Linked DNA regions of Lonchura striata. The main gene of each other region encodes a partner of the protein of the gene in region 2 in a complex. Links are inferred from orthologs where the notes say so. Each region holds a gene or a part of one and is shown on either strand. Other genes may lie near its edges. The genes, in order: SPTLC2, SPTSSA, SPTLC3 and SPTLC1.

The links.
Region 1: the proteins of SPTSSA (region 2) and SPTLC2 are in contact, whole or in part, in a cryo-EM structure (PDB 7K0K), measured with the Homo sapiens proteins. The link is inferred for Lonchura striata from reciprocal best matches to the Homo sapiens genes SPTSSA and SPTLC2. Residues at the interface, in NP_612145.2 of Homo sapiens: Trp15, Tyr18, Gln19, Leu21, Leu22, Val23, Thr24, Ala25, Tyr27, Met28, Leu29, Glu30, Pro31, Trp32, Glu33, Val36, Phe37; in NP_004854.1 of Homo sapiens: Leu73, Gly77, Val80, Leu81, Phe84, Leu87, Arg88, Leu91, Leu126, Arg129, Ile130, Tyr156, Met475, Pro476, Ala477, Lys478, Gly480, Ala481, Arg484, Glu485, Asp533, Leu534, Leu535, Gln536.
Region 3: SPTSSA (region 2) and SPTLC3 share a complex: the UniProt entries of both Homo sapiens proteins name them as parts of the serine palmitoyltransferase (SPT) complex. The link is inferred for Lonchura striata from reciprocal best matches to the Homo sapiens genes SPTSSA and SPTLC3.
Region 4: SPTSSA (region 2) and SPTLC1 share a complex: the UniProt entries of both Homo sapiens proteins name them as parts of the serine palmitoyltransferase (SPT) complex. The link is inferred for Lonchura striata from reciprocal best matches to the Homo sapiens genes SPTSSA and SPTLC1.

What each region holds. Positions count from the first base shown.
Region 1 is NC_134608.1:21,927,457-21,935,323, forward strand, and holds the start of SPTLC2 (serine palmitoyltransferase 2), read left to right. Parts: upstream 1-4,851; 5' UTR 4,852-4,854; coding exon 4,855-4,947; intron 4,948-7,867. UniProt on the Homo sapiens protein: Component of the serine palmitoyltransferase multisubunit enzyme (SPT) that catalyzes the initial and rate-limiting step in sphingolipid biosynthesis by condensing L-serine and activated acyl-CoA (most commonly palmitoyl-CoA) to form long-chain bases.
Region 2 is NC_134608.1:25,602,031-25,609,749, reverse strand, and holds the start of SPTSSA (serine palmitoyltransferase small subunit A), read right to left. Parts: upstream 3,010-7,719; 5' UTR 2,957-3,009; coding exon 2,854-2,956; intron 1-2,853. UniProt on the Homo sapiens protein: Component of the serine palmitoyltransferase multisubunit enzyme (SPT) that catalyzes the initial and rate-limiting step in sphingolipid biosynthesis by condensing L-serine and activated acyl-CoA (most commonly palmitoyl-CoA) to form long-chain bases.
Region 3 is NC_134605.1:4,828,121-4,836,099, forward strand, and holds the start of SPTLC3 (serine palmitoyltransferase 3), read right to left. Parts: upstream 3,009-7,979; 5' UTR 2,757-3,008; intron 1-2,756. UniProt on the Homo sapiens protein: Component of the serine palmitoyltransferase multisubunit enzyme (SPT) that catalyzes the initial and rate-limiting step in sphingolipid biosynthesis by condensing L-serine and activated acyl-CoA (most commonly palmitoyl-CoA) to form long-chain bases.
Region 4 is NC_134642.1:7,226,072-7,233,042, reverse strand, and holds the start of SPTLC1 (serine palmitoyltransferase 1), read right to left. Parts: upstream 3,009-6,971; 5' UTR 2,973-3,008; coding exon 2,907-2,972; intron 1,314-2,906; coding exon 1,206-1,313; intron 1-1,205. UniProt on the Homo sapiens protein: Component of the serine palmitoyltransferase multisubunit enzyme (SPT) that catalyzes the initial and rate-limiting step in sphingolipid biosynthesis by condensing L-serine and activated acyl-CoA (most commonly palmitoyl-CoA) to form long-chain bases.

The DNA.
Region 1 (7,867 bases), about 3.7 Mb from region 2:
TCTCCCTCATTCTCCACTTACTTTTATACTACTTTTCTACATTTAGGTGGAGCTTTGGTGACTGCAGTCATACAACACCTTTGTTACCAATTGGTGTAAAATTCTCTCACTTTATTTTTAAACATACAGTCAAAAATACAGAGCACATGCCCAATGAGAGGTGGTTGTACCTTGGGGGCAGGTAACTTTGGGGTGGAGGTCTGTGTTAATGTTACTATTAGGCTATAATGAACCAAATTCATCCAAAGAGAATGATTTCACCACAGCTGTTGGCTCAGCAGCAGGACATCTTCTGCCTACCTCAGCTGACAGGTTTTATGCAGTTTCTCAGCTGCAAACTGCTGTCAAGCTCCCCTCCCTGCAAGGATTTCAACAGAGCCCAAATGAGGTGTCTCCACTCCACCCTCTGCTCCATCCCCCTTAGCAGGTGCAACAACTGTGTTTTACTCATAATTGCTGTACTGCTATAACCTCTATTAGGCTGTGAATATAACCTTTCAGTTTCCTCTGATATTACCCCCAGTCATTTTTCCACAGCTTGGTGAAATGCAGTGAAAGTGGATGGATGTTACTGCTGGTCTTAAGTTGGCTATAAGATAGAGTCTAGTCCATTGCAGAGAAACAGCCATCTCCATTCCACAATATTGCACAAGTCACTGCCCAAAGGAGGGCCAAATATCCAGAAAATTGAACTGACAAGGGTGGGATGGGAACAGCTATGACAGCTTCTAAGTACTGTTTTGTACAGAAGTCTTGGGGACAGGGAACATAACAAAAAGCAGGTAAAGCACAGGAGGATCCAAATAAAGCTAGGACAACCTTGGTAGTCAGCTCTGACTAAAGCCTAGAGAAAAATGGCTCTTTGGAAAGGTCTGAAAAAAGGTCTGGTGGTGTGTGCTCCCTTCCTCTCCACCTCTGGATGCACTGCAATGTAAGAAATGCTTGTCAGGCCTCAGTCTTGATGGACAGCACCTGGGCTCAGCTCTTCTTGAGCTTATCAGAAACACTGTCTGCTCCCAGAAATTCATGCAGTCTAATCAGCTCCTGCATTTAAACAAGCAGCCTTGGAAACTTAATTCTCTTGCCTGAATAACAACCCAAGTGTATCTTTTCTTTGCAAGCTTGATAGCAAAAACAACTGGAATTGCAGGCAGGATTGAAAATTACTGTGGTTAAAGCCAGCTCTCCTGTGACCCTACAAAGGGGAGTCCTAAGTGAGACCCTTAGAGCTCTCCAGGACTGCAGTAGGCTGTGACCAGTAATCTTGCTCTGAGTGGGATCTCTCTCAGAGCTCACAAACTTTCAAGTCTGCTGCCCAAGTTCCTTCCGGAACTTGCCCTTCTTCCATCTTCAAAGTTCACAACTCACTTCTCTGATCCATGTCCTACGTTCAGGGCTCCCTGGTGCATTCATTCCTAATGCCTCCATCTCAAACTCAAACATGAACACATCAGGAATTTGACCTCAAATAACGATGAGGCTTCTATGAGGCAAGTAATGACTCATTTGTCCCCCCTCTCTACAGCAAAAACAGCCCCATGGTTGTAAACTATGATCAGGATCTCTGCCTTGTTTGACACCCATGCTGGGCGATATTGTTCAGTTGGCAGAGTAAGGCAGTTTGCTCTGCCAGTTCACTGGAGTGCCAGTTCACTGGAATAGTATCCTTGAGACTTAAAATGTAATTGAAAACTGGAATTTGCTCTTTAGATTTCTTTTGGTTTCCCTATTTTGCAACTGCCTAGTCCAGAGGCACAAGCTGCAGCCACCTGTGTACACCGGTGCCTTGTGCACTGCACAAAGCCATATCAGAGTTGCCTGCAGGTGTGATTGCAGCAGCTCTGTGGGATTTGTTTGATGCTGCCTATGGCAGTAGCTGTGCCCTGGGATGGCATCCTTATGCTGTGACTTGTTTCCATGGATATCCTGGGCTCTTCTGTCACTGAAGCCCCAGTGTGAGCATGGCCTCCCATGTCCCCTGCACTGTGCTGGAAGGGACCAGATGCCCCTAAAACACCAGGTGATGCTGGCCCCATGCTCAGGGCAGGGTGAGGTCCCTCTGTGCAGGGGAGCACTGCAGCTGCTGTATAAGATTGTACAGTCCTGCATGAGCTAACCATTAGGTCCTTTAATGCTATTTACATTTCCTAAACCAAAACTGAAAAAATCACATTGTAAGGGTTCATGTTAGTTGGGTTCAAGGACAGATGAAGTGACCAGTCTCTAGGTACCTACACGTGAAAAGGGTTTGTGCTTTAATAGAGAACACAGCAGTGAGATTCTGTGCCTGGCAGGTGAAGCAGCTTATCCTCTCTAGAAGTAAAGCATTAGCAGGTGAAACTCATTCCTCTGCAGGTGGGCAGGCAGGAAGTGGAGGGTGCTGCCCTACACATGCCTTGTCAGTGTAGACTGATGGACAATCTGCACCCCATGGCAAAAACTAGTCAGTGTAATTCAATCTGTTCTGTTCAAAGGGAGAGGAGGCAGGAGGAAAATGCTTATAGTTAACTATGGCAACAGGGGAAAAATACTTCAGGAAGTCTACAGTATGTGATCCCCTAATACATTTTTCTTTCTTGTTCATTTTTTTCACTATATTTATTAGCTCCCTCATAGATTACTTCAACTCTGCAAAAGCCCTACCCTGCTCATCCAGAAAGAAATCACATGTGCCTCTTTCCCACCAGTGCTCCTCACTGCACCTACAGCAAAGCAAGTCCACTTGCACAAGTTCTCAAGTGCTAAGCAGGGGTGTTTGCTGCTTTGATCCCAAGGTCCTTCCTAATAACACCAGTCTTCTCCATGGTCCCAGCCTGCAAGACAGGAGATGGGACATGGCCCAGCCCATCTTAGCTGGTGGCTCTCTCTCGCTGCACGTCAAAACCAGGTGAAGAAAGCTTACTGCTGAGGCAAATGTATACCTGCTTCAGCGGTAGTCCACATATGGGAGTGGCCACAGCAAGAAAAGGAACAAGGTCAAAAGCCACCCTGCACTTGTTACTGCTGAGGCTGTGTTTGTACCCTCACCCTCTTTGTCCTCCAAAGGGGACATGGAGACATGAAGCAGACTGGACATGCACTGCTGCCTACAAATAGGCTGAAATCAAGCTGTGAAGCTTTCCTGTCTTCCTGAGGGAAGAAAAAAGACTGTCTTTCACAGAAGCTAATTCACTTGCTAGGCACTGCATGTTCATACCAAATTTGCAATACGATCCATGACAAAGGCTCCAAGATGTGACTATAATACATAAAAGTAACTATCAACAGTAGCAAATCACAGAGAAAAGGATGAGACCATTCTCTTGAGTTTGTATGCTTGAATCTGATAACTCTTCATTTTGGTTTTTCCCTTGTTGCTAAGTGCAAAGAGAAACCACAGCCCTTCCCTGTAAATGACACTGGAGAAATCAAAGGTCACACTCGTCCATCTTTTCAGTGTGATTAAATGTGTCAGGCTGTTTACTTTCTGCCAATTAACACTCCTGCAGTTCGGGAATCGCTCCCTACTCCCTCACCAGGATGCATACAGGTGTTTAATAGTGCACAAATGCAGACACTTTGTGGCTTCCTTCTGCCCGTGTCTGCCTGACGCTTGGTCACTCAAACTGCATTGAGGCTGGTAACTCCCACTCCCGAACTAAATATACTTATTTAGTTTAGCATTTAGTTTACCTGGTCTTTGAACGAAGCACATATCTTCAAATCCTGTCAGAAAACACGTTTGAACACATACCTAGTACGGTTTTTAAGCAGAGCCGTGGGCAGAGCGAACAGCCGGGCAGCTCCAGCTGCCGGGCGCGATACAGCTCAGCAGGGCGGCCAGGCTCACGCCAGGCTTCAGCCCTGTAAGTGTAAATCCTACCGGAATTGAGCTCTGCCCGAGGCTGGCCTGCAGGCTGCCCTGCAAGGGCCTTCGGTGTCCTGGTGGACTCCAGCCAGGATACATCTCTCCCGAGCCGTGGCGAAGGCAGTACAGTAACTACGCCTGATCCCCTAAACGCTTTTCGGAGCTCTCACCCGGATGATTTCATTAGGGCACAGCCCAAGGCGTCCTGGGACAGCCCTCCAGGTCTCGGAGGACCGCTTCATTCATCAGCTCCCTCAACAGGAACCAGCGAGGGGCTGCCCGCTGCCTTACCCACCCCGGCCCGCTCCCCGCTCCAGCCACCAGCGTGCCGCAGGGCTGCCGGTTTCCCGGCGGGGGTGGTGACGGTGGTGACGGCGGCGGCGGCAGCAGCAGCAGCAGCAGCAGCAGCAACCTGCGCCGCGCTGGCTCCGGCCTCCTCCCCACCACGGGCAGGAACGCGCTGATGGGCGCTCCGGTCCCCCCGGAGCGGTACGAGGAGACCGGGGCAGCGCCCCGCTGCCCACTGACCTCGCCCGCCCCAGCAGCCCCGCGCCCCTTCCCTGCCCGCACCCGCGCCCGCCCATTGGCTGCCGCCTCAGCCGCGCCCCACTCCTCTCTCCGCCATTGGACGGACGCTGCCCCTCGCTCGCGCCCCTCCCTCAGCCTCGCTCTGTGATTGGCTAGCTATTCCCGTCCCCTTCGCGCCCCGTCCCGTCCCTGCCAAGTGATTGGGCAATGCTCACCCTCTGTCTCCGCCTCTCCACGGGCGTTTCCCTTCGCCATTGGGGGAGCCCCTCCCTTGCCCTTGCTCCCCTCCCACCCGGGCGCGGCGCGGGCTCCCATTGGGCGCCGGCCGCCCGCCTCGCACGCGCGCCGGCGCGCCCAGGCGGGGCCCGTCCCCTCGCGTGACGCCCGCGCCGGCGATTGGGGGAGCGCGCGGCGCGCTTCCGGTGCGGAGCGGCCCGGCCGGGCGGGGGCGGCGGAGCGGGCGCGGCGGGGCCGGCGCGATGGAGCGGCCCGAGCGGCCCCGCGCCAACGGCTGCGGCGGCGCCCACGGCGCGCTCCGCAACGGCTTCGTGCGCGGCCCGCCCGGCACACAGGTGTGCGCGGGCGACGGGGGCGCGGCGGCGGGCGGCGGGGCCCCGGGAGGCACCGAGGCGGGGCCGTGAGGGGTGTCGGCAGAACCCGATGGTTTGTGTCGTCGGCTCTCGCCCGGGGCGGGCGGGCAGCGCCCGGGGCGGTGCTCGCTCACCGCACTGGTGGCGGCGTGGGCAATGACTGTCCCTCGAGTCACGGCTGTAACTTTACTGCGAGGCTTTTGAACTTAAACCTCGCTGTAGCTCAGTGGGTCTGGGCTTTAGCAGAAAAGGTTCAGCAGTTCTTCGCCACCGTTTCGCTGTTCCAGGCGGACGCGCGGGGCTGTGGGTACGAGGAGCCCTGAGCACGGACTTCCTCTAGAGCAGAGTTGGAGCTTGGTGCAGCGCTTCCCATCTGCCTGTATTAACGCTGGGATGCAAGTGGGTATTTGTGCTTGCGGACTCCAGCTGTTTCTATGCAAAACACTCAAGGTTTGTGTTATAGTGTAAAGAACTTAAAGGTTGTTATGAAGTCAGCCTCAGCAGAAGGCAATAGGTTGTGTTTCCTTGAACACTTCAAGCTGCTTGATAAAAGCCTTCCTCTGTTCTCATCTCTCCTGCTGCTTCTGTTTTTCAGTCCTCTGCTCTCCCTTCTATTTTTTCAGCGTAGGTTGTGGACTCACTGTGTGGACTAGATTGAGAACTGATGCAGGGTAAAACGAAACTTTTTTCCCCCCTGGGTTATCTTTAACTGAGGATACTTATTCTATTTCTTTGACTGGATAGATGCTCGTAGTCTTTCCCTGGCCCTTGGGAGATACAGCACAATATTGGAAGTGAACAAATGGAGGGAGGTACAGTACATTCATTTGGCAGCAGGGTCAGTTTGTACTTGTTTGGGGAGCTGTGGCTTTGGTAGTCTTGCCTTGCAAACAGCAAGCACTGCTAGCTATAAAACCTTACATGTAAATCTTGGTAATAAGATAAAGTATGGTGCTGGAGAGTGTTCTTCTGTGAGAGTTTTTCCCCACCCTATGCTTTCTAAAGAAGAATGTCTGAATACAGTTATATTCTTCCACTTCAGAGGAACAGAAGGTGGGGTCAGGAAGCATTTCCTCAAGGGCTTTGTTTACCTGTGTAGCTGGAGAACATGGGTGATGTAGTGTGTGAATGAGAAAAACCATGCATATCAAACTGAGGAAACTTTAAAAACCTTGCTGATTTATGCGATGTTCTATTCACTTAGTAGCTTGCATATGATACTATGCTCAGATATGTTTTGGGGACCTGAGGCATTTGAGATAACTATTTCTGAAGTGGGTCAGGGTTCACTGGAGAAATGGTCATGAGAAGTCTTACCAAAAATCCAAAGTATAGCAGCAGTGTGAGATTTAAGAGTGTAGGAAAGTTTGGTATCTTTCTGGCAGCTGCTTGATTTATAATTAGGAGTATTAAATTTTTTCAATTTTATGTGGGCTAACTTTATGTTAACTTTCAAAGTAAGGGTCTGAATGTTACAACTGGACTGGAAGAAGCAATTATTTAGGAGAACTAATTATGTCCAGCTTTCTCAGATAGCATCTGTGGTGGTAAGCTGCCAAAAGATGTGTTTGCTGATATATCACAGATTTGGTTAATTGATTGGTATTTTGCCTTTTCAGTTTTGTTTTTTGAACCTTTCTATAGAAGAAAGGAAACGTGAATGCGCACATTGTGTTGTATATATTTGCTGTGTATGTATATGCTATGTACTTACCACATACAGCACTTGAGAATCTGCAACTGTAAGCAAGTACCAAAAAGGAGGCAACTTGCACAAAAGAATGTGATTGTTACTTAGTAGGAAAAAAACAAACAGAAAAGTGAGGATGCGGAAAAGAACTTTTTCAACAAGGCCTTTCACAGGTTTTGTGTGAGAAATAAGAGGTAAAATGAGAACATGAGATCTAGCTGAAATGATGGGAAGTGAAGGGGAAAGGAAAACCATCAGTTTAAATAAATGTTGCAGTCATTGACAGTTTACCTGGAAAAGCATGGAGCTTCTGAGGGGAGAGCTTAGAGACAGGGTAGTGCATTACCATGTCCCCCAGTAGTGCTTGATAGTGCAGAAAAGCTTTACCCACTTTTAACTATGTGAAAAAAAAGGAGTCCTCTTCTACCTAGGACATTTCTGCTCAGACTATCTATGTAAGTTTGGGTTTTTTTTAATTCTTGATTTGTTAGTTTATGTGGTTTTGTAGGGTTTTATCCTAAAAAAATAAAGCTTAAATTCAAATGTTTCCTTATGGTACTCCCTCCACTGAGGGTGGTATTTGACATATAGAGTGGGTTCTTTACTGTTGCTCCAGGATGCACAGAAGAGGGTGAAATTGTTTACTTAATTTTTTAAGAGGTTGTATTTGTCTCCTTCTGAACTGCTAAACCTCTTTGGTAAGAGGAGAGGGGAAACTTGCTGCCTACTAAAACTGTGCAGTAACAGACCCTTGACTACCTTGGAGATTAATAAAATATTATCAGTGATTGGGAAAGTGGCCATTTGAAGCTAGGGATCGAGCATAGCAAAAACATTCTGCTGAAATACTGAGATAAATACAGCTCTTGGCTTTCCTGAGGTATCTTGCGTTCAAATTACTTGGCTCCTGCTTGAAGTTAATCTGTTTAGAGATTGTTACATTCACTGAATTTCAGTCTCATTATGAACACCTTTATTAAAAGAGGCTGAAGTACCAATGGAATGTTGGAGAAAAGTGACTTTTTTTCTGACTGTATACAGTTAAGGGAGTTAATGGTTAGAAAGAATAGTAATTTATGGAAGGGCTTAAAATTTATCTAGAATTCTGGTGTAATACTGCAGTATGTAAGATAAAAGCCTGACATGTCAAAGGGTATTGTCATGACATGAGAAGTTGAACATAGATAGGAGAAAGAGAGAAAATCTTAGAAA
Region 2 (7,719 bases):
TTCGGTAAACTTAGCCTGAAACACTGTAAAACACACTGGAGATTAACAAGCATGATAAGGCCAGGCAGCAGCACTCTGCTTCCACAGGTGAAACCAGAGGAGCTGCGCGCTCTGCTCTCCTGAGATCAAGGCTGCACAGCACAGGCGTAACAAGCGCTCCATGGCCGACTCGCCCACGGCACAGCAGAGCTATGAGGTGTGCCTGTTAGAGCTGCTCGGTGTATTTACAGTCCCAGAGGATTATACAGTAAGAGATACTAAAATGAAGGTCAACTCATAAATCCACGTTTCCACATCAATGCTCACTTCTGGTACTGGAGCACAGCCACGCACCATTAGTTCCCAAGGCCACTGTGTCCGCAGTGCATCCATACAGCACCTGGCAGGCATGACCCACCAACAGCCAAAGCATCCAGTTTGAGGACAAAAAACGTTTTTGCTGATCTGAGATCAGAAGCGATGCTTGCTCTTTACATTTGTATGTTATGTGGCAATTACAATATGAACATTTTATGCAAGTAAATGTGCACACGCTTTCATTTACTTAAATATTTTGCACAAGGTAAAAAGGAAAAAAAATACACGTGATATGTAATTGCAAGGAAAACAAAAATTAGGCTTCCTCAGTGATACAGGCATAGCATAAAAGGAAGAAGTTATGTTAACATGGAATACAACGTAAGAACCCCTACACAAAAAACTGTGCAAAGTAAGTCTATAAAACTTACTACTTCTTTTTTCCATTAATCTTCATTTCTACTGAGTAGACACAGGAAAAAAAAATGACTGATCACAACACTGTAACTTGGACAACCACTTTTACATAACAAATGTGAGTTTCTTTACAAAACTAAGAAGAATCTCAGTAAAAGCAGCTTCTTGCTACTGCTCGTACCCTTCTCAATGTTTTAATTAATTTCTCTCTCTACCACTAAGCATTAACTGGACATGGCTCAGGGGCACTCATATTGAGAGATCATTTTAAGTCAAGATCAAAAAGTCAGAAAAAAATACTTGTGATGTAACAGCAATACTTAAAAAAAAATGCACTGCCTGTACAAAAGGGCAAGATAAAGAAGCAAACCTATAAACAGTCTTTATAGAGACGCCTTTACATGAGCATCTGTCAAGTTCTTCCACTCTAGAACAGCCAAGAAAACTCACCAGCTCGAGGATTAAATACCCATGTAACAAAAGCCATATGACAAAGCTGCATGAAAGTCTAGGTTTGCAAGGTTTTGCAGCGTGCATATTTACTTTCCTCTAGGCAAAATACAAAAAAAAAAAAAAAATCATAAAAGACGGGATTTCAATGCAAAAGACAGAACCATCATAACTTCAAAGCTACAAACTTATGCCGGAGAAGAAAACGGACTAGGCTGCCAGACGCCCGACACAGCATGCGAAACAGCACAGCGGGGTTTATTCCCAGCCCGGGCAGGATGTTAGTTTGGAAGGGTGAGGAGCCGAGTCCCCGCCAGCAAGGAGGGGTCAAGCCTGGCTCCCAGGCGGAGACTGCCGCTGCCCCGGCCGCGCTCAGCGCCTGAGGCCGGCTGCCCCCGCCCCGCCCGACTCTCCTGTGCCCAGCGAGCCCCGCCGGCGGCGGCGTTCTCAGCACGACCACGGCCGAGAGCTCCCCGAGCACGGCGCAGGGCCGGCCGAGCCGCCACACCCGCCCGGCGGCCTCGGGCAGCGCCGGAGCCGCCGCCGGACACAGCGCGACAGGGAGCGGGCAGCCCGGGCCGCGCTCACAGCCCGGCCGCGCTCACAGCCCGGGCCGCGCTCACACCCCGGCCGCGCTCACAGCCCGGGCCGCGCTCACAGCCCCGGGCCGCGCTCACAGCCCGGGCCACGCTCACCCCCCGGCCGCGCTCGCAGCCCCGGGCCGCGCTCGCACCCCCGGGCCGCGCTCGCACCCCCGGCCGCGCTCGCACCCCCGGGCCGCGCTCACCCCCCGGCCGCGCTCACAGCCCGGCCGCGCTCACAGCCCGGGCCGCGCTCACAGCCCGGGCCGCGCTCACCCCCCGGCCGCGCTCACCCCCCGGCCGCGCTCACAGCCCGGCCGCGCTCACACCCCCGGCCGCGCTCACAGCCCCGGGCCGCGCTCACAGCCCGGCCGCGCTCACACCCCGGCCGCGCTCACACCCCCGGGCCGCGCTCACAGCCCCGGCCGCGCTCACAGCCCCGGGCCGCGCTCACCGCCCGGCCGCGCTCACACCCCGGCCGCGCTCACAGCCCCGGGCCGCGCTCACACCCCCGGGCCGCGCTCACCCCCCGGCCGCGCTCACAGCCCCGGGCCGCGCTCACAGCCCCGGGCCGCGCTCACCCCCCGGCCGCGCTCACCCCCCGGCCGCGCTCACAGCCCGGGCCGCGCTCACAGCCCCGGCCGCGCTCACAGCCCGGGCCGCGCTCACAGCCCGGCCGCGCTCACAGCCCGGCCGCGCTCACACCCCGGCCGCGCTCACAGCCCGGGCCGCGCTCACAGCCCGGGCCGCGCTCACAGCCCGGGCCGCGCTCACCCCCCGGCCGCGCTCACCCCCCGGCCGCGCTCACCCCCCGGCCGCGCTCACACCCCCGGGCCGCGCTCACCCCCCGGCCGCGCTCACAGCCCCGGGCCGCGCTCACAGCCCCGGGCCGCGCTCACAGCCCGGGCCGCGCTCACCCCCCGGCCGCGCTCACCCCCCGGCCGCGCTCACAGCCCGGGCCGCGCTCACCCCCCGGCCGCGCTCACCCCCCGGCCGCGCTCACAGCCCGGGCCGCGCTCACCCCCCGGCCGCGCTCACCCCCCGGCCGCGCTCACAGCCCGGGCCGCGCTCACACCCCCGCCCGCCAGGCCCCGCGGCAGAAGGATACTGAAGACGGTGCGCTCCCAGGGCTCCAGCATGTAGAGCGCGGTGACCAGCAGGTACTGGTAGTACAGCCACGACATCTGCTTCCACGCCGAGCCCAGCGCCATGGCGCTCCCCGCCCGCCAGCGGCCCCGCGCCGGGCCAGGCCGAGCGGAGACGGGGGCGGTGCAGCCGGGCCCGCCCTCCCCCGGCCCCGCCCTGCGCCCGGGCGGCCGCCGGCGAGGAGGTACCGGGGAGGCTCCGCGGCCGCCGGCGAGGAGGCACCGGGGAGGCTCCGCGGCCGCCGGCGAGGAGGCACCGGGGAGGCTCCGCGGCCGCCGGCGAGGAGGCACCGGGGAGGCTCCGCGGCCGCCGGCGAGGGGGCGCCGCGGGCCGTGGAGCTGGCTCGGGGCGCTGCCGCCGCTCCCGGAGCGGGGCAGAGCGGCGGCGATGCGCACCGCTTCCCCGGTTCTCCCGCTGAACGCCGACATCGGGCCCAGTCTGATTAAAATACGCGGCTGACTCTGAAGCTGGTAACCTCCCGGCCCGAGTCACACCGAGGAGATGGTGCTGCATCTGCTTTCTCTCGGCCTCTTTGATCTGAATTGACCTTGCTGGAATCACGGAAGAGCCAAAGCCTGTGTTTGGCAGGGCCTAAGGGAGACATGTTAAAAATTATCTGCACGAGTCTTCAACTTGGTTCAGTTGTCGGAGGGCAAAGCCTACCCAAAAACGTAGCTCAGATAAATGCGACCTTAAGATAGGCCAGCTTTGGCCAGATTAATCCATATGTATAGGAAAAACAAAGTGATGAATCAGCTGTTTACTGTGACTGTCCTAACGTTGCACAACCCTAAGGCACTCAGAGCCACAAACCAGAGATTCCCAGAGGCCGGTTTGGGACTTCGTGATTAGGAAGGCCCTGGGCAGTTTATGCTGGCAAAACCCGCTGGAAGGGGATGTGCACAATCGTCAGGCACCTTAAATGAGCAGAGTGTGTGTTGCAACTTCCAGGCCCTGTGTCCAGGCCACTAGTCCAGACCACACATTCCAAGTGTGCACAGCATAGATTAGAAACTGGAATTGACCCACTATACTTACTCTGCTTAGTCAATCAATTTGCAGTTATGTCACTTAGCAATATGATTTTGTCCTTGTCGCTGTTCCACCTCTACCTTATCCTGTGCTATTTATACAATGAAAACTTAAGGAAGTACAACCACAGGAGCATTAATGTTTGAGTTACTTATACAGCTGCAAAATGCAACTACAGGACCAGGAGGTAATTGTGAAAAAGAAAAGCAGCTGGCAACAAAAACATAAGACTGTATTATTTTGTGTGGCCGGAATTTGAAATGGGATTTGATTCATCCTGAAGACATTTAGACACACCTTATCTATGCAGATTTATTTGAACACAAGGAGAAATGAGAGCATTCACATGGTTAATATCCTGACATAACTGCCTGTGGGAGCTGTTGCCACTATCCAAGTTTGCTGTTGCTTGTTGCAGTCACTGCTGGAGGAGTCTTGTGTTGATGTTGCTTGAGTAAACAGTGGTAATCATGAAAGGTGCATTTCTGTATAAACATGTCCAAAGTTCAAGGACAAGTAGGGTATTCAGCACAATGAAAGCATTTCCCATTCAAAGCTGCAAGAATGGTATCAACATGGAGCAAAGGCATCCATCCAGTGCTCTCTGTTCCTGTAATTCCTAACAAAATGCTCTGCAATTCAAGTGGTAAGGCAGGCAAAATGCAACAGCAATAAAGGACCTGGGATGAGAGGAAAGGTAATGCTTAGAGGCATGACAGCTTCACAATCTCATACATCTGCCCTAAGTCATCAGATAATTATCCCCTTACATTTTTTGGTATGGTGCATACTCATGAGAGTTTTTTTGCTAGTTAGCCCCTTATGGAAATGGACATTATTCCTCTGTACAGTTTCCCTTCCTTCACCAGCTCCATTCTGCCCCTGCTTAGGGACTGTCACACGTAATTGTTTTTCCTGATACCACCTGCATCGACATTTGAGGCCTTGAACTACATTCTCACGTGCTCATGTTTCCAGTAGGTCAGTGCAAACATCCTTAATCTGACACTACAGAGAGCCTTTCTGTTTCATCTGGAATGTAAATAGAAGTAAATCAAGGCCAGCATGCTCTAGAGCACAGACCATATTCTCTATTACATGTATTTCTCCACACTTCTACCAAGAAACAGTTCTTCATACATTCAAAATTTATTGTGAACACCTCATAAGAATTTATCCCACTTCACATGATCCCACATCTATCTGATACTGCAAGTTAGATACTTCAATATTAAGTCTGAATGTAGGTAGTAGCAAAGATGAGATTGAGATCTTGTCTCATGCATACATACCCCAAGCCTCAGAACCAGCAGAGCTCCATTTTGTTTGTAGGTTGCATATGCAGAGGACGCACATCATACTGACCAACCACATGTTCAGCAGCTGCATCAACAGTTCTCTACTTCATCAAGCAGAGGTTCAGTTTCTGCTGATTTGAAAATAGTAATTCCATGCTTTTCTTATGTAATCCTGACAGAAGAACCAGCATGTTTATTTCTTCCTAATCTCATGTAACAGCATAGAATGTGTATGTAGATCAGTCAAATACCACACCAGGGACTACAAACGGTAACCAAAGAGTTACGAGATTTTATTATAATCTAAGGCACAAAAGATGTTATTCAGGTTTCTACCTCCAAAGTTCAAATATTTCTGACAATTCCTTAAAGCACATATAGCTAGTTATTCCTAGTACTATTATGAGAAAAAACATAAAGATTTTTTTTTCCAGACAGACCCTTGTTCAAGGTACAGTTAAAAAATATCAGGCTATAAAAGATGTTACAAATAAAAAGCAAGAGTTTGCCTCTAGAACACACACCTGAATGAACACAGGGAAGGATCCAGAATTAACAATACAGTGGCTTCACAGACATAAATACCAAGTACAGAAGCTCTTTGTGCTCCCATAAAGAATAAAAATGTACTAAAGAAACAGAAAAAGCAAAGTGGTTCTATGGTAATAGATCTGACTATAAATTTCTTCTTAAAATGTATCATCATAAGGAAAAATGACAATAAAGTCCAGTACTTTCTTCTACTATGTATATGTAAATATACATATTTACATGTACAACATTTAGCTGTATTACTAGGCATGTTGATTTACATGATCAGTGGTAGAACAGTCCATGCCAGCAAATCAATGTAAGCTCATCTTCCACTCTGTATAAAGTAAAGTTTCAAAATTCAAGAAGTTTCCAAAAATCCAAGTATCATGACAATTCCTTCTTTATCAGTGTCCTGGTTTTGGCTGGGATGGAGTTCATATTCTTGTCAGTAACTTGGATTTAGTCTGAGAATAATGTTCTCACTAATACCATGATCTTTTGGTTGTTGCTACATTAACTACTAAGGCCCTGGGCAAAAGTTAACCTCTAGATGAACATTCCAGCCAAATGTTATGTATATATTCAGTCATTAATAAAGTATTGTTACATGTATTCATTTATTTGCAAACCTTTCCATATATAGAAACATGGGAAGGCCTTACTAGGGGGACATAAGATCAAAGACAACACTTGGTTCCTCGTGGAGCCTTGGTCAGGCTTTAGGGAAAAAGCAATAGAAGAGTGAAATTAGAAATTATGTCCGTTTGTTTGTTTAACAGTATAAAATCTGGGTTACTTTCACAGCAAAATCAGGGAAGCCTGGAGGCCTGCAAGGTGGACAGGCATGATTCTCCAGTCCTTTGCTGTGACAGCCTCCCCCTCACAGTTGATGTTTTGAGGACCTGGATGATGGTGAAGTATGAGGGTAACTAGTGATGTATCTGTCTTAATCACTGTAGGCATTCTCCTGTAGTAATGATGAGGTGCATTGCTTACCTTACCCTTTTGTAATTCTTTGCTAAGGATTATGTGCATTGCATAGCCTATCCTTTTGTGATTCTTTGCAGCTTTGCATTATAGTAAATTACATTGTTCCTTAAGTTGGTGTCTGTGTCTGTCTCTCTGACCCTGCTCACTGGCAAAACACTCTAAGAGGTATTTAGTAGGGTAAGTCAAGGACTTTTCAGTGTCTCATGCTCTGCTAGTGAGGAGCACCACTAAAAAAGGGGAGGGAGCCTGGCCAGGACAAGTGACCAAATTGGCCAAAGGGATATTCCATACCCTAAAATATCATGCCTGGTATATAAACTGGGGGAGTTACCTGGAAAGCAGATGGTTACTGTTCACAGACAAGCTGGCTCTCGGTCAGCAGGTGGTGAGCAGTTGTGTTGTAGTGGTGGGTTGACCCTGGCTGCACACCAGGCACCTACCAAAGCAGTTCTATCTCTCCCCTCTGCAAATGGACAGGGGAAACACACACAAAGGTCCATGAGTTAAGTATTGTGAGAGCTCACTCACTGAATACCATCATGGGTAAATCACATTGAACTTGGGGATAATGACTGAATTCATTATTAACAAAATCAGAGCAGGATAATGAGAAGTACAGTAAATCTGACTTTCCCTTAACTCTCCCTGCTTCTTGGGCTCTACTCCCTCCCCCACCAGAAGTGCACTAACTTCCCTAATGTGAGTCCATCCCAGATGCAACACTTCTTCCCAAACTGTTCCTTTGTGGGTCATTTTTCCAGTGCAGTCCTCCAGGCTGTCTGCTCCAACATGGGCCTGCCAAGGAGTGTGGGCTCCTCTTGCCGTGGGTTTGCAGGTCCAAATTCTCCTCCCCACTGGGGGAGAGGGTGGGGGGGAGTGAGCAAGCAGTTGTGTGGCCTAGTTGCCAGCTGGGTTAATACCGTTAACACAAACCACATCTGCAAATCTACCAAGAACAACAGCCTAATGACATC
Region 3 (7,979 bases), on a different chromosome or scaffold from region 2:
GGAAAACTTGGATACCTACAAACCATGGATTTAAGGAAAGTAAAGCTTACTGGTTCTCCCTTTACTCCAAAATAAAGCATGGTATCTATTCTTACCTTCAGGAAAGGCATGACAGCTCTTAATGCATATCTTTGGAAGTATCAAAAGGCTCCAAAGCTGTCAGGATTTACACCCTTGTGAATTATAGAATAGCACAAACGTAATATTTAAGGATTAATTTTTTTCTTTGTCAAACAACACAGAATAAAGTTCTTAATAGTATTATTCTTTCATGTTTTTATGTTTTTAATATTTGGGGAAAAAAAACCCCAAACAAAAAACTAAATTAAAAAAAAAAAAACCTTCTTGGCAGGTAGCCTGACTTTGTATTGATCGCTTCTTGTTCTTCACATATGGTGAAATGTTATTTTTAATGCTGACTACACGCTAAATAAAGAGAGAGATTCACATAGGGTATATCCAAAATAACCCAGTGTTGGGCTTTCAGTACCCCAGAGTGGATTTGTGCCCTATTTTTGGTACTTCTTATTTCTTTAGCATAGCATTCTTTAAAACCAATAAATAAACATAAAATCTACAATCTTAAAATATAATCTAGGCAAAACCAATTCATAAAATACTGAATAGTTGATGTACAGTTGAGGCAGAATTTAAAGACTAACCACAAATTTAGGACAGTTTCCCACACATGCTCCTCTCTTCAAAGTTTTCAATAAATCTCTTACACTCTATTCCCATTCTCTCTAGCTTTATATTATTTTCCTCATATTTATTTTTTATTTCAATCAAAAGCCACTTTCTTGTTTTTTTATTTGAAAATTGAAAAAATAAATAAATTCTGTAGAATCACTTTGTAGACACATAAGAAACTACTGCATATTTCAAAGAGAACGTTTCACACTCAGTATATTGAAAAATGGAATAAAATGTACACACCAGTTCTGGAAAAAGCAAAAGATGCTTCCAAGCAAATTTTTCAAGCTGTAAGGATTTGTCTAGTACCTAGTTGATCCGATGAGCTTGTAAAAAAAAAAAAAAACCAAAAACCAAACTACAAAATAACAACCACCATAACTGGTAAGTAACATCAGTGTGATGTTCTCCAAGACCTTCTTTGCACTACTTTTGATTTCACTCTGCATACACTTTATTGTTCTTGTGCCTTTCAAGTGCACAAAACAGAACAAGGTCTACTCAAGAAAATAACACATTTGGAACAGAATTATAAAACCCTCATCCAAACTTTTTTGCAGTTCTAACAGAAAAAACAAACCAGAGGGTCAGTCCAGGAAGAAAACAAGGGAATTAACAAAAACCAGATAAATAAGAAACTCTTTCATCAGCATAGCAATAAATAGCCAAAAGAGGCAGCAATAAATAAAAACAATGATTACTGCAGGGACTTCAGCCTACACCTCTCTAAGTGTTTAACCCTTGCCCCCTCTTGTGAACTCTGTTTATCTCCTCCCCGATGTGCTTTTTCCTGTTCCTGAGGTCCCTATTTGTTTATCACCTGTCTCCAGAGCAGGTTGGCTAATTTAGATGTGACAACTATTAGTTGCCAGACAACACGTGGCACCAGCTTTTACACAAGTGTCTGTATTTACACATTTGTTCTTTCACTTCTTTGGGGGGAAGATCATAAAATCAGCATGCTGCAGACATGAAGAGAAGAAAGAACCTCAGATGATTGAAGAAACCACATCTCTTACGCTTAATTAATATCAAATTTATGAATATTAATGCAAGGAACACCTAGGCCAAGATGGAGAAGGGTGTTTTGGAGAGAAGAAACAAATGCAGCTGCTGATTAGCTTTGTAAAGGCACACAAAAAAGCTGTTACTGATGGCAAGAAAAGGTGTTTCATGTGTCCCAAAAACCATTCTTAAAGCAATGCAATACAAACCTGTTTGGCAGAACAAACCCTGAAATGCCTAGTGTGTAGCAACATGGCCACTTGCATGGTCACTATAAAAGTGCCATGAAGCCAAAGGACATAACTGTTTCACAAGTAGACTCATGGGATTAATAAAACATCACATACAGGCTTCTAAACTCAGTTCAGCTCACTTTCTAAAGAGAACAGGAAAAGCTCAGCCCTTCAGCAACCTTATTCACAAAGCAGAGCTGTCATGTTTCATGTTAAAGATATCTTATTGGCTTATGTGTCCATGAAACACCCACACAAAGGCCACAGGGGAGCAGGAGACCCTAAGTGAGCAAATAAACAGACATCCTCCAAGCTTTGGTTGCATTCAATAGCAACAAGAAAACCATTGCAGATTAAAGTGAATGGAAACACCAGGATGAAAACCTACTCAGAAATCCAGCCCCATGGAGGGGGAATTTGGCTGAATTGGCCCCTTGACAGATAGCTGAGAGAGAAAACCCTAAGTGACAGCTAGAACAAGAGGGTGTTATTAGAGTCACTGCAGATTTCCTAAATGTTTTGGGATTTTTTGCTGTGCCTGTAAGAGCTTCCAAGGTTGTAATCAAGAGCTCAATCCTTTGTTACTACACAATTTGCTTTCCTGAGTTTATATTCTTGTTTGAACTTGCCTGCTGTTGTGTAGCTCTGGCAACCTGAGGTGCATAATTTCTCCCGAGGACAACAATAAAATAAATAAAAGAAGATCCCACAAAGAATGTGCATGTGTCCCATCAAGAAAACTGAATGCTGTGAAGACTGGTGTGATGAAGATACAGGACACACACAAAAAAAAAAGGTATATTTTGACAGATACTTTTCACTGACCTGCAAGTAGGGGAAGAGATGGTTTATGACATGAGGGAATCCCACAGTGTCTCATCCTGATGTCAGTAGAACCCAGGACCAGCAATCTGTAAGCTTAGAAGCAAACAGAATATTTACATATTCTCTAGCTCTTCAGGCTGCATTGGCAGTATTCTGTGTGTCAGTTTTAAGAGCTGCCTGATCCTTAGCAGCTGCACCTGATTATGTGCCAATTAATACAAGAGCTCCCACAGTGTAAATATGAAAGGTTTCCTTTCCTCTGCTGTTAATTTTTATCTTCAACTTCAAGAAAACTGTATTGATCACCCCATACTAACAACATCATTTATTATGGTTATTAGGCTGTTATAAATCCCAGGGAACCTCAACAGATCTTACTATTTTAGGTAGGGGATTTATAAGAAACATTTGGCAAATTGTTTGGATGAACAAAATGTCCTGTCTCTAAACCATATGCCCCCAGCAGCACCAGCTACTTGTGTTTCCTTCTCCAATGTGCTACACAAAATGCCTCCCAGTCTCTCTGCTTGCCTACATGTCCATCCTAGTGCACACTAATAACCATGACTGCACTGACTGGGAACCAATTCCAGAGACAGATGGATCAGCCACAGGGAGGGAAGGCCTGGGGCTGCCTCCAGGTCACACAAAGTGACCAGAGACTCAGCCCTTGGCAGGGCAGGACAACTTATTTCCAAAACCTGGCAGCCACCTTGGCCTCCTCTGATATTCACTCCAATAAATTTCCAGGAGACACCTTCTGCACGCCCCAGCAGGTCCCTGCTCCTGCCTGTACTTGGAGCAAAACAAAACCAAAACCTTTGGCTGAGACCTTTCCAAACCTCCTGAAGAGGCTTGTGACTGGGAGGTAGCTTAGGTCAGTCTGCTGCTTTTGAAAACTCCTCTTCTGGTCTGCAGTATATTTTGTGTATTTAATGTATAAATATTCTGAGAATTAATGCTTTCTCCCTCATAGCGTTGCATAATAAAAAGAGAAATAACACCTAGGAATTGCCACTGATTTAGAGCTGTAAACTATTTCTTCTCAGCCAGCTGGCTTGTGTGTGTGATATAAGCTGCTGTGTATTTAAAAGCATAGCTTTCTCCCACGCTTGTCTCATTTTGGGTGACTTCTCTGGTGTCTCTTTGCAAAGCTCTTTTACCAGGGCAGTGATTTGCAGTTCACACAGGCCACCAGGCTGCTGCATTATGACCTTATGTTATAGATAATACAATTTAAGATGCTGATTACAGAATGGTTCTGTGAAATAGGAAGGAAATTTCTGCTGGTCTGTGAGGCTATTTTGCTTCTCTTGAAGCATAAATGAGTTTATTTTCTCACCCTCTAAAGATCAGCCATACTCTTTGCAGCAGACAGACATGATATATTTTCTGCTAATCCTATGGTTATTAATCTATCTTGTGGAGCAGCCGTGGCTCAGAACCAAAGCGAAGGAAAACAAGGTTTGAACTTAATACAGTCATGCAAGGTGTTTGTTTTTACAGGTGACACACCTATGGCTGGCTGTTTGGAAATGTGGCATTATTCAATGGAATACAGAAAACAGTCAGACTAAATGATTCAAAAATAATAACCTTTTTGCAATATGCACTATCTCTACAAGTGAAAATATTAGCATTATTAATAATAGCCTCACATTAATGCAAAGCTGTGCTGTCACCTGCCACAGAACAGCAGCTGTGTGTATGACTCCAATGGTAATTACATTACAAGGATGCCTGGAGCCTTATGCTGACATTAAGTGAAACAAGCGTGGAATTTAATGCATTTAACAAAGTAAAAAAAAAATTAAAATAATACCTGTAATTTAATATATGCATGTTCTTCACCATGGCAATTACCCACGAGTCCACAAAGAACAGACGGAGCTTGAGGGTATCAGAGAGTTTATTCAGAATTATTCCTAGGGATGATAGCACTTCATGGTTTGAAAAACAAGCTGGTTCATTACATTGCTTTCTGCTAACTGCATTTCTGCAAGATGCCCCTTTCATTTGCTCATTTGCTCAGCCAGGACTGAATGAAAAGGAGCTGAAAGGGAAAAAAGAAATTCAGAATTATTAACCTAATTTTCCAGCTTAATTTTTAGCACAAAGTAAAAACATGTAATCATCACCTCATAATAATCTGTGGACTCAGTTATTCTCACTTAGGTAGGGTTGCAGAAGTTTATGCTCCCAGAAATATATACCTGTTGGGTTCATCTGGATCTGCAGCCTTCCAGAAGTCTGTTCCAGATTTCTGAATAGACCATGCACCCTGATGTGCTGAGGGCATCCAAATGCTCCAGTTGGATCATCCTCAGTGATCAGCAAATAGATCCTTTTGTCAGCATAGGCCAAGTGTAGTTTCAGGTTACCATGTTTCTGACACACGAGATGTCTGAAATGTTGAGCTGAAGTGCAAGGTTTACAAATTTAAGATTCCAATGTCCCTTTTTTGTTTGTTTATGCCTCAAAACCCTAAGAAGTAAGGAATTTGCCTCCTTACTCTGTCATTCTCAGGTTAAGTTCTGAATTTCTTCAGGTCAAGACAGCTACTTCAGGGGCCATGCTAGTTTTTCTTTCTTTTATTGTTCAGTATGCTGAGGAGATAAGGGAATGGGTCACGAACATCATCAGAAACATCACATTTGTTTAAGCATATTTGTCACCACAATCTCATTGCTATCGGCTTTTCCTATGCAGTGGTGTAGAACTCATAAAACTGTTCTTAAATATTGACCCATTTTATTTGCCTAGTTACCAGCTTGGTTCATTTATTCTAAAATAATCAATAATAACCTGGCAAAACATTTCCTCAAGCATTTTCTAACCAGCCAGTATAAGACCAATGTTGAAAAAATTGTTTTCTTAATTACAATTCTAAATTATGCTTTGTTTATTCAGGAAAAAAAAAAACACACACAGAAAAGTATGGTCTTATCTAGCAAGTGAGATTCTAAAAGATCGTGCTTTTTGAAATTATAGCTGGAAGTTGTAATGGCACAGGACTGTTCCACTGAAATATATTTATGATGGAAAAGAAATTATTGGAATGAAAAGCTATGCTCTTTCAAAAATGTTTGGATTTCATTTAGGAAGTGAGATCAAAATATTTTGCTTCAGGATAAGTAATCTGGTATTGCAATATTTGGTTGTGAGACAGAGTCAAAATATTAGCATCATTACAGTGATAACATGCAATTCTGACAAAATCCCTCAGCCTGCAGAGAAATTTCCTACAGGTCACTGCAAGATTCAGTAACATAAGGTAGGATAAAGTGTTTCACTGTGGCTCCACAAACAGAAATTAAATTTATGTGAAAAAGTTTAAATTACTTCACTTCAGCTTAAAGACCTGAAGGGTTGTGTTTGGACATTACAATTTGAAGAGTTTCTTTGGACTTTGGTTCCAGATTTAACTTTTGTTATGTTTTATGTGAATTTATTGTCAATATTATTATTTATTTTATAATCTTCCACAGTAAAATAAATTCTAAATTTTTAGGATTTCTAGCATCTGATTATGTTTATCATAATCCAAGAAACTAAATTACCTTAAACATAAAGTAAGCCCATTTGTCTGTCCCAAACACATATTCACATGGCTTTAACAAGACTTAAGGGATGAAGGGCAATATTTTGTAATTACAGGAAAGAAAAGCCTGCCCATTGTTTTACTTCGCAAGAGTCTTCCAGTGTCTAAATAACATTGTATTCTGCAAAAGCCTAATAGCCTAGTATTTATTTCCAATTCTTGAAAGATACATGAGAGAAAGATGAATGTGTTGCTCTCCCTGCTGCTGAGGTGAGAGGGATTGTTCCGTCAGCCCTTTGAACTTCCTGTTTGGCAGGTAACAGACCCTGCTAAAAAAATAGCATGTCCAAAGTGTGAGAAATTATTACTCACTTGTAGAAAGGTTTATTAAACTGTACCAAAAATACAACAGAAGACTGAGTAGAGAAAATGTTACGGTACTGGGAGGAACAGATTTTCCATGTGCTCACCCACACAATGGAGGTTTTGCCTTTTTACCCTTTAACCCCTCCCAAAGCTCTGTCAATCGACCTCTTTGCTGTTCAGTGGTGGACATCACTTCCTCAAATCCTGATTGGAGGTCATGAAATAGAGATTTTTGGAGTTCACTTAAGTTAACTAAATGAATTAAGCATTTATATTTTAGCTTGTAGAGTTACGTGTTGAATTTTAACCTTTTACTTAAAAACCTCTGCCATGGTACAAAGGGCATAAGAAAATGCAAATTTTTGAAATTTCTTGCATAAAGAACAATGCCTAGGGATGCAAAGAACCCAGATAAAGAAGCTCCACTGTCTCCAAGCCCATCAAAACTGACAGATGTACTCAGATAAGCACCAAAGGACCAAAAGCACATGCGCAAAGGAGAAAAGTTCAAAAGTCATGAGGAAGACCACAATCTTCAGCCTCAAGAGACCACCAGAGACCCCCACAGGACCACCACGGTAAACCATGCATGCCTAGAAGGGTGTGGACCTATTTAGCATGAGAGGCGAGGACAGGCGGGGCCAGGGGTTGAATATGCATGGAAAAGTTGTGTAATGTATGGAACATGGAACACCTTTCTCAGTAAAGGTGTGGGTCAGACCGAGGCTCGGTGCACAAGTTTTTGGAGAGATATCTCACTTGTGCTGGGTGCTGACAGTACATACCCACTTCAGAACTACTCCAGCTTGTGGAGTCTATTTATTTATCCCACGTATTGCTTCAGTCAGATGTCACCACAGTGACAAGCTAACCCTCCCAATTGTCCCAACCCTGGCTGTCTCTGGACACCAATGCAAGGGGGTGAAACATAACTATAAATCTATAAAACTTTTCTTTACGTATATACATGATAATTGTGAGAGTCAATCATCGCATTACTCATCTATCACAAAAGATATGCTTGAAGCCTGTGCTTAGACTGTGTGAGAAGCTTTTATTGAGCACTATGAATACCCAGGGAAAGCAGGGGGAGGGAATAACACCGGTCACTCCAAACTGACACACCAAACAACTCAGTAAACCTGGTGCCATCACCTGGGACTCTTAGTTATTGAAATCTAGAAAAAGCCACAGCACACAAAAATCAAAAACCCTGCTGCTGTAGCATGTGACAATATGACCCAAATGCATGGAAAAGGATCTGGAGAGGGCAAGGCACCCTGAGGCATCAAGAGGGGAGGTGGTGGCCATTTTCT
Region 4 (6,971 bases), on a different chromosome or scaffold from region 2:
TGATCCCAGGACAGATTCCTGAGGGACCTAATTTGTCACTGATGTCCATTGGGATTCAGAGACAATGGCTGCTACCCTTTGGGTGAGACTGTTCAACCACTTTCTTATCTACCTACCATCACACCTAATTCTCTCAAATTTAGAGAGAAGGATATTGAGGGGGACCATGTTAAAGTCCTTATACAAGTCCAGATAAATTACCCCAGTAGCCCTTCCCTTGTCCACCACTGGAGTCACTCCATCACAGAAGGCTACTAGGTTGGTCAGGCAGGACTCGCCCTTGGTGAAGCCATGCTGGCTGTCTCAATAAATATCTGCTGAAGTGCTCTCTAGAACACTCTAAGCTTGTTTAATAAGTGCTCCCCAAATGAGGACACTGCCTGCAGTTTTGCTCACTATTATAGACTTGTGCCTACAGTCCTTGCATCCTGTTCATTGATGAATTACACTTAGCACGCATCCTTAATGTGCATCATTAATGAGAATAAGATCAAAAAGCATGTACACACATGACATAGATGAAAATTACATATACCCATTACAAATACCCATAAATCTCTTTCACAGACTTTCTTTAGTACCAGGAAGAAATTTCATTATTTTATCCTATTTATAAGGGGTTCACTATTCTGAAGCTCATATAAACTACTCCAGGGACATCCTCAAAACACACTTTACTCATTTGTGATAGTCTACAGCCAGAAGTCAGGAAGAAACTCCAGTCTTCATAAGTACAGCTTTTTTTATTTTCTCAGAATGACACTGCAAAAGTAGAAAACTGCTGCTAAACACAAACAATTTTTGTGGAATTCACTGTAAACTCTCATGAGTTATAACTCATAGACACCACACATACAGCTTGAGCATTTTTCTACTATCTACAATCTTACATTTAATTTTGCTTGGTGGGCGTTTTTCACATAGCTCTTCCATTTTTAAAATAAAGCCCTCCATTCAGCAGAGCTAATGACAGCTTTTCATAGCTTAACAGTCACTATCATATCAGTTTTCTTATTTCTCAGACTCTCAAACACAGTGCTACTTTAAAAGCACAAACTGACATATTTAAACTCCTGAGTCCAAAGTAAGCTCACCCTTGGAAGGAAAAGAAAAACCAGCAGAACCATGTATAATGCAACAGCGGTTCAACACCCAGTACATCAATCTAAACTGTTTCTCTAAAGAGAAATAATTTTTCCTCATACCTTAAGTGTTAGATCAGATCGCTCTTGAAGCTTGTATGTCTTGGAGAAAAGAAGTCTGATTATCCATAGTATTAGAATTCCTTCTAAAATGAGATGGTAAGCTGGAGCCTGAAAACAAAAGTAGAAAAATTAGTCTAGAGAGAATTCTATTTCAAGCAGTGTGACACAACATTTTGTCCCTACTAGCACACCCAGAAAAAAACCCAAAGCTGATCATCAGCTGATATATTTCTAAATCAGTAAAAATTTTAACTATATGAAACGGGAACGTTTTGCAGCTATTACTTGTAGCTATTAACTTAAGTTTGAATGGATTTAGTCTGTTGTTCATGCACATAATTTGAATACCAAGAGTAAAGGCAGTTAAGTCATAAAACAGGTTGCACCAGTCAGCACCCATGAAGGCAGGCAGCCTTCAAAACAAGCAGAAGTATCCTGAGACCCTGAAAGTCTGTGTCATCCATACAAAGCCACTTCAACTCTCCATCTTTGTAACCTACAGTCCACAGCCGGGACAGCCAGTATTTACAAGGAAAGACAATTCTATTCTTAGAGTCAGCTTCTGTCAGTTTAACAGGCACTTTGATCAGGTATAAAACAACTGAGTCAGCTCAACTAGTTTTGTCCTTTTGTCTCTTACTCTCTTGTGTGGACACAAAGTGTGTGAATACACAAAGCAAACCAGAGTTGATGCAAGTTAAAGTAATCTTCTTTGGGTGCTTGGGGGACAAAAATCAGTTTGCTCTGGCAGTGCAGCTGATTTGAAGTAGATGTGGAGTTACTGGATACCTAGTATTAATGATAAGTTTCGTTATTCCATTTCAGAAAGGCTCCTGTCTATATTTTTAAGACTAGAAGTGCACACAAACCAGCATACCCCCTCTTCAAGTCAGGGGAATTGCTCCCACCCATCAATAGTTTTGGTGGTATCTGACCTGCCAACAAGGCAGAACTTACCATACATCCAGAAAATAAAGTAAATTGGATGCAAGCTTTTAAAACGAGTAAAGAGTCCTACGGCATATCAAACTTCAAATAACAAATGTTACCTGTTGCAGAGTACCTGCGTACCAAACATATTAAGATTACATACACAACACATATGACACGACATGTAAAGAACACACAGTATACTGCCACTGAGGTCTCTGTGCTTTTCAGTGCCTACAATTCTCCTGGGTTCAGTGCACTAGAGCGATGCTACCTGCTTCGTTAGCTAAGCACTTCTATATTTGGACTGCAAATCTTGCATACATTCTTTAGACCCTTTGCTAAAGGAAGGGACACAAAAACAAGGCCTATCATCAGGACATCCTTTTCAACATCACGGAACAAAGCCTGGGTACAAACACGCACAGCTGATGTCCTCCAGGAGGGAACTCAAGCCCAAACATTTAAACGCCGTTTCTTCCTTCGCAAACGACATCTGTAATTTACAAACCCTTACCCCAGTAAAATCCTGTGAACCTTAAGGCTTAATGCTCTCCTGCACGCCTTAAATGTCATTTTATAAACCCGGAGAAATAAGACGCGCGCGTATATTTTCAATGCACAGCCATGGCGCACTCACACATCCTCACCATTCAGCGAGCGCAGCCCGACCCCGCAGCACCCGGCTCCCGATCCACCACCCAGCACCACCCACCGGGGGCAGCTCCGGCGACACCTGCCCGCTCCCCAAGCCGCCCTGCCCGGCCGCACCTCGTAGAAGGCCTGCACCATCTCCACCAGCACCCACTGCTGCCCCACGCCCGCCATGGCCGCCATGGCCGCGCGCCGCTTCCGCCCCTCCGCCCGCGCGCCGGGGCGGGCCCCGCGCGGCGCGGCGCAGAGCGCCCCCTTGCGGCCCGCGCGGCCCTCACGGAGCCCTGCGGGCGGGCTCCGGGCGCGGCGCTCCCGCCCGCGGCGCCCGGCGGCGAGCGTGAGCGGGGAGCGAGGGGAAGATCGGGGAAACACTGACTCCCACAGTCGGTCACACGGACTGGGACCGCGGCTGACCATCCGGTCCAACCTCCCTGTTCAAGCTGGGCCATCCCATGGCGTGGCGCTGTCTCCAGACTGTTTTTGGATCTGTCCAATGAGGCAGGCTTCGTAACTTCTTTGTGCAACCTGTTCCATTGTGCAGTCACCTGCACAGTAAAGTTTTCATGTCCAGGTGGAACTTCGTGTGCTTCAGTTTCCACCCGTTGCCTCTTGTCCTACTGCTCAGCACCTCTGAGAACAGCCTGACTCCATTCTTTTGTGCTGCTCTTTAAACACATACATAGATGCACCCTTCAGTGTTGGCTAAACAAAATTAGCTACAAATTGAACTTGCCGAAGAAGATAAACGTGGATGTACTAATATGTTTCCTCACCACATTTCAAACCTGGTGCTGTTTGTTGAACTTGATGGAGTTAGCTTGGTGTTGCTTCCTCCACACACACAGGCTTGCTCAGCCCCACGCTGCCCTAGGTGCAATGGGGCAAGGGGCAGATCCTGTGCTTGTGTGCCTCAATATTACACTTAACACCTCTGTATTATCTGTAACTAGTGAATTCATTGCTGCAAGGAACAATTGCTCAGACACTTGGCTAATGAAAAGAGCAGCAAAAACAAAACCTGAATATAGTGGAAATAACGGGTAAGTTCAAATAAGAGCAGAAATTGCTACATTAAGAGTCTTGCCAAAGTGAGTGGCCCTAAAAGCCAAAGATTGTTGGGAGAGATAAATGACAGGAAGAAAAGTAGTACTTTTGAACTCTCCCCACACCCAGGTGTTGGGAGATGGGTCAGTCACTGTGCATAGCTGTGCAGGACCTGAGCAACTATCTAAAAGTCAGTGGAGAAGAGGAGCAACTGGAAAGAAGACTGCTTGGGAAGTGAGGTAGTTGTTAAAGATGATGTTTGAGAATGGTTTCCCTGGAGCTACACAACTGCGGAGTGCTTCTGATGGTCTTCTTGGACAACACAACAGAGGCACACCCTTGGGTTTTCACTCACTAGTCTTCACTGTGGTTGGGTGAGAGAAACCTGGGGCAACAGTTGAAGAAACAGTTGATAGCAAAAACCTTGTAGCTGTTGCTAACTACAGACAAAGAGTAGCTTACGATTTTACAGTAGTGGATAGTAAAAATCAGTGAACTTCACTTTCATGCTACTTGAAATGCATAATAGTTAATCTCCCTGAGTTTCTGAACTTAATTATATACTTGTAAAATTCCAATCTCTGCACAATAAAGAGAAATATGTGGTTTGAGGCTATCTGAAAAGTCAAGAGAGACAATAAATATGTCTTGGCTTTTAGTTGCATGAAAATCTTGTCTTCACTGTTAAGTACTTCTGTGGCCAATGTGTCATGCTGGAGTCTTGGACTCTTGGGAGATGGCTGCTATACCAGCCTCAAAAAATGTGTCTGGTATGCAGTCCCAAATTGCCCCCAGTAGCATGGGCCACATGAGTTGTCTTGGTGGGCAGCAGATTGAGTCATATCTCTGCTCTCATCAGATTCTGACTTTCAATATTTGACATATATATGTACCATTTGAAGACTAAAAAACTGATTTTGTGAAACACCAGATGAATTGTTTCCAGCATGAAATGCAGTGAAGTTATTAACATGCTAAGCAGTAATTCTTCTGGCAGTGGATTCAGAGTTCCTGGTCTGGATTATCATAGTGCTGGGTCTCTCATAATAATGAGCCTGTCCCTATTGCTCAGCAGTTTCATTGTTTCAACACAGGGCAACGGCTGCTAATTGCTTTAGGCTGCTTTACTTCTGACAGTAATAAAGTGAGGGAGGTAAAGGGATAAGTCCTTCGCAATGACAGTTTATGACTGGAAAGAAAGGGGAGAGAAAAAATATCTCCAAAATTAAAGACCTGATGAAAGCTATTGAGATAGTTCCCTATAAGAATTTCTGGTCTGTATGTTTCAAATTCTGTATTCCCTCCATATTCTCCATTTGCACAGTATTTCTAAAGTACTCTTATTTTGGATCTCCCTCACCAACTGACTCATTTCTCACACACTGCTTTGAATCCCCAGTTCTCCTGGGTCAACACTAGAATTCCAGCTATCTGCTGTAGTTCTCTGATCACTCTAGAAAGTGAAAAATAGGATTAAGTATGGCTAAGAATTTTATTTTTTTCCTATCACAGATGTACCCAGTGCCAGTTATTTTTCTGTTATTTTCCTCTTTGCTCTATTAGCTTTTCCTCTGGCTTCTTAATTTTTGCTTTATCAAGTATGAGATAGTCAGACCTTCTATTGACCTGGTATCAACTGAGAAGGGGAGAATGGCATGGGGAAGTGGCACATAACTGTGAAGGGATGGTGGTACTTGCTGTCATCTTAGTTGTATTGCTGTCTTGGAGGTATGTGTCTAGTGGGCAGAGACATGTGGGAACTGGTGGGAAAAGTTCCTGAGGGTCATTTACTTCTTCCCTGCCTTCTCCAACCATAAACACGGAAGGGGGGTGATGGTGTTGGAGAATAGAGACATAAGGGAGTGTTTGCAGCTATTCTCACACATTCTAGGTGATGAAAGCTTTGTTTAGATTATTGTGGTTTTAGTGTGCCTAGTTGTAACATGTTGGCTTTGTGACTACCCTGAAAAAAATATTTTAAAAAAAGTATTGGGAAAGCAATCCCAAAATGGCAAGGGGAATAGCAGGATAATGCTAGTTAGTCTTTTTTAGTCTTTGAAACTTGATGCTCCACTGAGATGATGCTGGCAGCAAGCACAGAAAAATTTCAAAGTCAGTTGAAAGCTGTCTGTTAAGCCAGAAATTGTGTCTCAACTCCTAATGGAAAGCCCAAAAATGTTGCAAGAGTACTCTGCAAGTGCCAAGAAGAACTGGAATATCAGGTTCTGTCATTTGCCTAATATGTGGAGGAGCACAATTGTGCACAAGGCAAGCAGAGGACAGGATAAACTTTGTGTTATCTAAATCTGTGCACCATTGCATCTCGGAAATGTGCTTAATCCAATTTCTACAGTGAATTAGCTCTGAATTAATTATTAAATTAGAAATCAGAAATCTGTCTCAGGTCTGCATGGGAAACATCTGGAGATCTCAACCTTTGACACAAGATTTGTGAAAGAGTAAGAGCACCTAGTGGTCAAAGAACTGGTGCATTCTAGCTATTCTTAAATCTTCCATGCCACCTTGAACAACTGTAGTGACTAAGTGGCATAAAGTGGAACTGCTGTAATATTTTCCTGGCATACCATAAAGACCAAACTTAACCTCAATTCTTTGGACTTAACAATTACTGGAACTATGTAGGAAACTTAAAGTATTTTCAGCCAAAGGTGGACCTTTGGAATGAAAAGCTCACTTGTCAGAGGTGGATATAGGCATAGCAGTCTGCCTGTCTACACCTCTTCTCAATGCTTGTTCCCCATGTGGGCTTGGCTGCACTGGACTAAGCATGAAATTTCCAGTACATGGCTGAGCTAGCCATCTTAAAATGGAATTGGCACCAGGTAGGCCTAGTTATGTGATAACTAAAGAAAACTTGTATTAGGAACTTGTAAGAGCTGTGGGGACCACTGTCAGAACATAACATTATTTAAATGAGAATGCTTGCTTTGCAGAGAACCAGTTACCATGTGTGGTGTTGCAATATTTCTGTTGCAGAGTTAGGTTTTGTATCCTGTGTGGTTAGAGCTCACATATCTCTCATTCAAAACTTCAGACATATTCAGAATGGAGATTAACAGCCCAGAACTTCCACCTGGGTTGGTTGCTCCTGCTGCAGAATAAAGTACATGTGTGACT